Cricetulus griseus: one gene and its partner. The protein of the gene in region 1 interacts with the protein of each later gene in a biochemical or structural test. Links are inferred from orthologs where the notes say so. Each region holds a gene or a part of one and is shown on either strand. Other genes may lie near its edges.

Region 1 (3,500 bases):
GGGCAAACCGTTGCCCTAGTCCCTCAAAACTCCCCTGAAGTAGCCTCCAGAGCCTCCTTCACCCTCTAATACTCAAAAAGGGGATGGGGTGGGGTGGGGGTGGGAAAAGTCAATAGCAATTGCCCAAGGAAATGTTGGGTTTGGCCATGTTTTTACATGTTTGTCTTTAAAAATATTTTATTACTAGCCCACAAATCAATTTGGAAAGATGAAATTTACTTATTCCCATCACTGATTTTGAAGTCCCGAGCCAAAACCGAGCCACAAAAGCAGGTTAGGTGACAAGCCGGTCAGCCGGTCTGTGAGGAGCAGCGGGGAGGGCAGAGGGCGAGGGGCCAGATCATTCTTTTTTTTTTTTTCCACACTCTCACTCTCTCTTCTCTCCACGATTATTGACCGCCCCAGGGGCCTGATCACAAACCCTGCTTGGCCAAAGAAGCGGACACTTCATCGGCTAGTGTGGCAAGCTGTGGTGAGTCCACCATGTTGATGCTGCCCGTGGAGGACACATTGCTGAGGTGACGTGGAGATGTGTCCCCAGACACCACAGGTGACTTGTACACAATTTCTGCTCCATGGTCTGTCTTGGCTTTGGCATTCTCTCGGAAGGTCAGCTTGTGGGTTTCAATCTGTAAGAAGTTAGGGTGAGATGAACGATTACCCTGTGGAAAACAGATGAGCCCAGACTGTCTACACACCAGAGTCTATGGTGGGAGGAAACCACTCTTGTAATTAATTAATTAATTAATTAATTTCACTCATTCATTCATTCATTCATTTTATTTTACTTTATTTTGATGTAGGGCTTCTCTGTGTAGCCCTGGCTGTCCTGGAACTTGCTCTGTAGACCAGTGCTGGCCTAGGATTCAGAGTCTACCTGCCTCTGCCTCCCTAGAGCTATAAGGCATTCACCACCACACCTGGCTATTCATTTATTCTTGAAACAGGCTCTCTCAAGTAGCACAGCTGGACTTGAATTCTCTATCCAGCTGATGAGGACCTTGGACTTTGGATCTTCCTGCCCTCTTGTCCCCAATGCTGGAATCATGGGTATATGCCACCACAGCCGGTTTATGTAATGGTGAGGGTCAGGCCCAGGGCTCCCTGTAAGCTAGGCAAGCACTCTGCTAATTAACCTGCATCCCCAGTAGCCACCACCCCTACTTATTTGTATTGTTTCCAACTAGCAATAATTGTGCATGGTCCATCCCTCACCTGCCTGCCCAGTGACAGTGACAATGCTTCTATGCCCTTTAAATAGCCCACACATAGAAACACACATGCATGTGCAAGTAAACACATGTATCTTTAACGCATATGGGAGGGCTTTGCCCTTTGCTTTTTATACTTAATACTTGCTTCATTCTTGCTCACTTAGTTTTTAATTAATTTATCTGTCTATTTACTTTGAGACAGGATACCAATATGTAGCTCTGGCCTGCTTGTAATTCACTCTGTAGACCAGTCTGGCCTCGAACTCAACAGAGATCTGCCTGCCTCTGCCTCCCGAGTGACGGGATTAAAGGCGTGTGCCACCACGCCTGGCTGTTTATCTAATCTTTTTACGAGTGTGCGTGCGTGCGTGCGTGCGTGCGTGTGTGGGTGTGGGTGTGGGTGTGGGTGTGTCTGTGTGTGTGTTCATGTGCCCCAGTGCATGTGGGGAGATCAGAGGACAACTTGTTGATCCTCTCCTCCTAACATCTGGGGCCTGGGGAACAAACTCAGGGCATCAGGCTTGACCGTCTCTCATTTTCTGGGATTACAGGTGTGTGTCACCAAGGTTCAGGCTTAATGCTTTGTTATTCCACAGGGGACTTTCTTGTACCAATGGCTACTTATTCTACACCATTACAGCATCTGTGACAAAATCTATCTCCTCCCTGCCGGTGGAAGTGGAGGGAGTCCCATATTTCTGCAACTACAACCAATGCCGAGTAGCAATAACCCTCAGTGACCTTGCACACATCATTTTACATGTGTATCCTAAAAGTGTATGTATTGACTTGCGCTGGCATGGAGCCCATAGCCTTAAGCATGCTGAACACATGCTGTACTGCTGCTTCACAGCCCTTGCTCTGGACTCTGTGTTTTCTTAGGTCATTGCCAACTTGCTGCTAACAGAATTGAAGGAGAAGCCACCAAAGAGAAAATCAGAATCACTGATGCCAGCAGCCACACATCATTTGTCACAGGTTATTAAGGTATTTCCAGGTGCTAGAAGTTGTGATGCCAGGAAGCCCTTCTTTTTTTTTTTTTTTTTTTTTTTTTTGGTTTTTCAAGACAGGGTTTCTCTGTGTAGCTTTGGAGCCTATCCTGGCAACTCACTCTGGAGATCAGGCTGGTCTCGAACTCACAGAGATCCTCTGCCTCTGCCTCTGCCTCCCGAGTGCTGGGATTAAAGGCATGTGCCACCAATGCCCGGCAAGAAGCCCTTCTTAAGAAATGATATCACAGGCCTGGGGAGGAGATGTCTTAGTGGGTAGGAGTGCTTTCTGTGCAAACACAAAGGCCTGAGGTCGAATCCTCTACACCTAAGTAAAAGAAGCAGAGTGTGTCTGCACATGCCTGTAACCTGTAACCTGAGCATTTGGGGATGAACACAGGTACATCCCGGAAGCTCACTCGTAGCCAGCCTAGCAAAAACAGTAAGCTTCTGGTTCAGTAAGAGACCCTGTCTCAAGGCAATAAGGTGGACAGTGATAGAGGAAGACAACCTGCTCTGGTCTCCGCATGTATGTACACGGGTGGGCTCACCTGCATATGCATGTACACATAGGTGGGGGGGGGGTGCAGACATACAGGGTTATAGCCAGGAGCCCAAAGGGAAGCAGAAAGCAGTCTGAGGCATGTATAGCAGTCTCTACATCAAAAGGGTGGATACAAAATGCCTCCACCTTGTTCTAGATCCCAGGCTTTGAGCCATGTGTGCACATAAGTATGTGACACACACACTGCATTTCCACACACCTTCTGAGGTCAAAGACCCTTGCTGGGAGCTTGAATGGTGGCATAGAGAAAAATCAGCCTTTCCTTTAGGCTGCATGCATATGCTGTTCTTTTTGGTAAAGAGGGATCTTTTATACTACTGTACTTGAGAGAAGCTTTGATTAAAAACCTTTGTGTGTGCATGTGTGTGTGCGTGCATATGTGTGTGTGTGTGTGTGTGTGTGTGTGTGTGGTCGCACTGTCCTGGAACTTGCTTTGTAGACCATGCTACCCGAAAACTCAGAGATCCACCTGCCTCCGCCTCCCAAATGTTCAGCAAATGCTGGGATTAAAAGCGTGCACCACTATGCCCAACTGCTTCTGGTTCCAAGAGACGTTCTCAAGTGTAGCCCAGGCTGGCACTAATTCTCTGTAGCCCGGAATAACCTCTATCTGTTTCTAGTGCTCCAGAGTTTCATCCAGGGCATAGAAGTTCCCAGGCTGGTTGAGAACTTCCCTTACCCAGGGAATCTCCAGCTCAGGTCTGCTGCAGCCCCACTGAATCAGACTGAGGT
Region 2 (4,178 bases), on another chromosome or scaffold:
CTACTCACTATGCTCCCCATCCCAGGCTCCAGCTTCTGCAACCTCACTCCCTGTTCCCGGAGAAATACCCTGTTTATGAGCAGGTTCTGGGGCTTCAGGTCCCTATGCAGCACGTTGCGGCTGTGACAGAATCCCAGGCCTTTCAGCAGCTGGAAGAGGAATGACTGGGAGAGGCAGGGAAGAGGGAGTCAGACCCACTGTGTCCTATAGCCCATATGACTTGCAGCAAGTCAAGAAGTCTATCCAATTACTCTGTAATTTAGTGCGTGTGTGTGTGTGTGTGTGTGTGTGTGTGTGTGTGTGTGTGTGTGTCTGTGGAAGCCAAAAGAAGGGGTAGGATCTCCTGGAACAGAAGTTACAGGTAGTTGTGAGCCACCCAATATGAATACTGGGAACAGAGTCTTCTGCAAGAGCAGCAAGTACTCTTAACAAATGAACTATCTTTTCAGCCTCTCATCGAGTTACTTGTGAGACTCTGCTTTGCATGCACTAGGTAGTAGAGGTACAACAGTAACCAAGTTTTCCTTGCTACTCACACCTTTTTTGTTTTTTGTTTTTTGTTTTTCGAGACAGGGTTTCTCTGTGGCTTTGGAGGCTGTCTTGGAACTAGCTCTTGTAGACCAGGCTGGTCTCGAACTCACAGAGATCCGCCTGCCTCTGCCTCCCGAGTGCTGGGATTAAAGGCGTGCGCCACCACTGCCCGGCCTCACACCTTTCTTAACTGATGGTTGGTGGGCCCTCCTGCATCTCCAGTCCATGCTGGTTTTCCCTACATGGCTGCAATTTAGCACACACACCTTGACCATCAACACAAATACAAAGCTATAGTATTACTCAGGACCTGATTCCCTTGGAACCTGGGCCACGGTACTTGGTCTTGGGCCTAGAAAAGTGCCTGGTAAAAAGCAAAACCTACAGCATATATTTGTTTTGTTTGCCTTTCTCTCTCTCTTGTTCTCGCTCACTCTCTCTCTGTCAAGATTTACTTAATTTTTAAATTATGTATGCATGTGTGTAGGGGGGGTATGTGCCCTTGGAGGCCAAAAGAAGGTACTGGATCCCCTGGATCTGGAGTTACAAGTGGTTGTGAGCCACTTTGTGTGGTTGCTGGGAACTGAACTCATCATCTGCAAGAGTAATTAATATGAGTTAACTGCTGAGCCATCACTCTAATCTTTTTGTTTTGTTTTTGCCCTGATGTTTGAAGCAAGGCCCTGCTATGCAGCTCAGGCTGGTTTTGAGATCCTCCTGCCTCAGACTTCCGAGTGCTAAAGTTAGAAGTATTTGCCACTACGCAGGGCTGGTATTTGTTGAACCCATGAGATATTTCTTATGTGCATATGATATCACTGAAATCAGACACTGTGCAAGTCAAAGGAGACCGAATAAAAATGTTCACTAAGACTAGTAGCCCTTGGAAGGCAGAAACAGATTTTCTCTGGTACTCCAGGAGCTCAACCTGTTACTCAAGGAGAGCTGATGGATATCCTAGGCACACCCTAACTCCATAAATCCCAGACACTTCTCTCCTCACCTTCACAATTTCAGGGTCCAGGTCACCATTGCAGCTGTCAAAATATTTCTTCAGGTCCTAAATATAGATGAGGGTGTGGAGCAGAGAACAGAGTTCAGCTTTAGTCTGGACTCCTATACCCTCCCATGAGCACTAACCTCTCCCACCACCCAGCCCTCTTTCACCTGATCACAGAACTCAAAAACCAACGTCAGCTTCTTGTCACTATGCAGGACATCATGAAGCCTAGAGAGAATGGAAGACTCAGACAGATCCCCAAGCTGGCCTCTAGCATCCCAATACAGTCCAGTCTGATGGGGGTCTGTCTCCTCCAAGAGACCTCACCTGACAATGTTTTTGTGCTTCAGTTCCTTGAGTAGACATATCTCCCGGAGGGCTGAACTTGGCACGCCCTACAATGTGCAAGGGGACAGTAGTCACAGCCCACCCCAGACAGGCCCTGCACCTCTCCCCCCATGCCTCTGTCTTACCTCATCGTCATCATCCAGCCTCACACGCTTCAGAGCCACAATCTCATGGGTTTCCCGGTTTTTGGCCTTGAACACAGTTCCATAGGTGCCTAGGGGAAGGTCGGGGGTGAGGGAGAGGATCCTCCTCAACATCTTAGTGTGCAAGGGCAAGTTTTCAGGTGAAGGCTAGGTATGGAGTAGTTCTGTGAGTGAGGATGCTAAGGTGGAGGTCCCTAAACCGGTTCAAGGCTCCAGCTGCAGGGAGAATCTGCCATAAGCTCGGGGGGTGGGGGTGGGGGTGGGTCGGGAAGTATCGAGGAGTCATCTAGGAGAGCGGTAAAGGCCTGCAAAAAAAATGTTAAGGTTGGGAGTTCTGCAGGGAATTGAAGCAGGGGTTCCAGGTGAGGTTTGCAAGTGATGCTGAGGCTAGGGGTGAAAAATGCAGGAAGTGCCGCGGCTAGGAAAAAACGGTCCACAGAGACTGCTAAAGCTAGGAGCAAGAGTTTGCGGCAGATGCTAACACAGGGAGAAGGGCTGGTGTCTGCACCGAGTGTTGGACTCAGCGGCCAGGGCTTTTGCCCAGTGCTGCGGTCGGAGCCTGCAGGTATAGCTGACGGTAAGGGAGCTGGGACTGCAAGCAGGGTCTTCAGAAAAGGACCTTTCAGGAACATCTCGTGGTTCCATTACCTTCCCCAATCTTCTCCAGTTTCTCGTATTTCTGCATCGCAGCGGCCGCGGGGACCCCTGCGGGCCCTCGGTTCTAAGACTCCCGGCCCCGGCGTTGCAGAGGAGGTGGTACCCACAGCTCCAACCCCGCCCACCCACTCCCCCACGCACAGGCTTCTGGGACTTGTAGTTCCGGGGTGGCCATGTTCCCCAAGAACGCCCGTAGCGGAGGGCACGAGGACTACAAAGTCCAACAGGCCGCTGTCGGACTCTATGCAGCGATCAACTCCCGGGACTCGTTTCCACCGCGGAGGCAAACCTAAAACTTCAATTCCCAGGAAGCATCGCGTGTCCGCTTGTCGGGCGTCTCCGCCAAGGCGCGGAGGCTCCCAGTGTGCCCCGCTCTTGTTATTATTCCTTCTCTGTGTTCACAGCCTTTCAGAAAAGGGCCGCTCAGGGACTACGCGTTCCAGAATACAGCGAGGGTGGGGGCGGCTGCGCCCGCCGAGCCTGGAGCAGGCGCGGGACGGCCTAGATCCCGGGCGCTGCGGGCCCGGCTCTGACCTGGTTGGGTGTGTTGAGTCGGCAGCGACCCGCTGACAGCTTCAGCGCCGGTGCCCCCCGTGTCTCCCTAGGCCACCTGGCGACCCCGGGACCGAGGGGGGACGGTTGTGAGCGGTGTCCCACTGCTGGTGACCGCACAGGGGCCAGCTGAGCACAGGGCCGGGCATCGAGGCAGGTGTGCCCGTTAGAGGCCGGTGTGACACACGCCAGACACCCCTCGGTTACGGTCTCCAAAGCCGCGGACTCCGGCGGGGGCCCCGCTCTGACATGCCGAGGCCAGCAGACTGCAGCCTGGGTGCCCCCCAGATCCCAGTCTTGAGAGCAGGCCCACTGGAGTCAGCCAGGGTGTGGCCCACGAGGACTGGCAGGTCAGTCACTCCCCCGCAGACGAGCCACAGACGCTGCGACAGCGGGAGCAGGCAGCCTTTACCGCACCCCGCAAAGGAGTTGATTATAGATTTTCCTGCACTGCTCTCTAATTGTCTCATGATTGCATTCCTGAGGGCTGGCTGTGAACCGGGCGCAAACGGCCCCGGACAGCGTTCCTCCCTCCCCAGCGCCGGGACCAGGGCAGCGCTAACTATCGGTTAATCGACTTATTAAGTCCGAGTGCTTTTGCATAAACGAGATCGTGGTTCACCCACGAGGCAGACGGAATGAAAGACGCATAAAGTGCATCCCTTATCATCTGAAATAACCGGGAATGAAAGACGCATAAAGTGCATCCCTTATCATCTGAAATAACCGGTGCTTTGGCCGAGAAGGCAGGATGCACGACACGCAGAGGTCTTTAAAGTACAAGCGTCGACTGCGGACACGCAGCCTTCCACTCAGCGCGGAGGTGGCTCTGGCCGAGCGAGGAGGAGTCCTCAACGAGCCGTCCCGTTCTCCGTCGGCTCAGGGTCAGGGTCACCCAGGCCTCCGGTTCCCGTGCCATGCTTCCTCCCAGGCAGACGCCAGGGCTT

Evidence for each region.
Region 2: of the proteins of microtubule-associated protein tau (region 1) and Cdk5, one has a biochemical effect on the other in vitro, tested with the Homo sapiens proteins (10 studies listed by BioGRID and IntAct, with this or other methods). The link is inferred for Cricetulus griseus from reciprocal best matches to the Homo sapiens genes MAPT and CDK5.

The regions. Positions count from the first base shown.
Region 1 is NC_048600.1:117,359,753-117,363,252, reverse strand, and holds part of microtubule-associated protein tau, read right to left. Parts: intron 630-3,500; coding exon 414-629; 3' UTR 1-413. UniProt on the Homo sapiens protein: Promotes microtubule assembly and stability, and might be involved in the establishment and maintenance of neuronal polarity.
Region 2 is NC_048601.1:98,098,650-98,102,827, reverse strand, and holds the start of Cdk5 (cyclin-dependent-like kinase 5), read right to left. Parts: upstream 2,801-4,178; 5' UTR 2,708-2,800; coding exon 2,671-2,707; intron 2,094-2,670; coding exon 2,005-2,093; intron 1,927-2,004; coding exon 1,859-1,926; intron 1,760-1,858; coding exon 1,699-1,759; intron 1,592-1,698; coding exon 1,535-1,591; intron 165-1,534; coding exon 69-164; intron 1-68. UniProt on the Homo sapiens protein: Proline-directed serine/threonine-protein kinase essential for neuronal cell cycle arrest and differentiation and may be involved in apoptotic cell death in neuronal diseases by triggering abortive cell cycle re-entry. Interacts with D1 and D3-type G1 cyclins.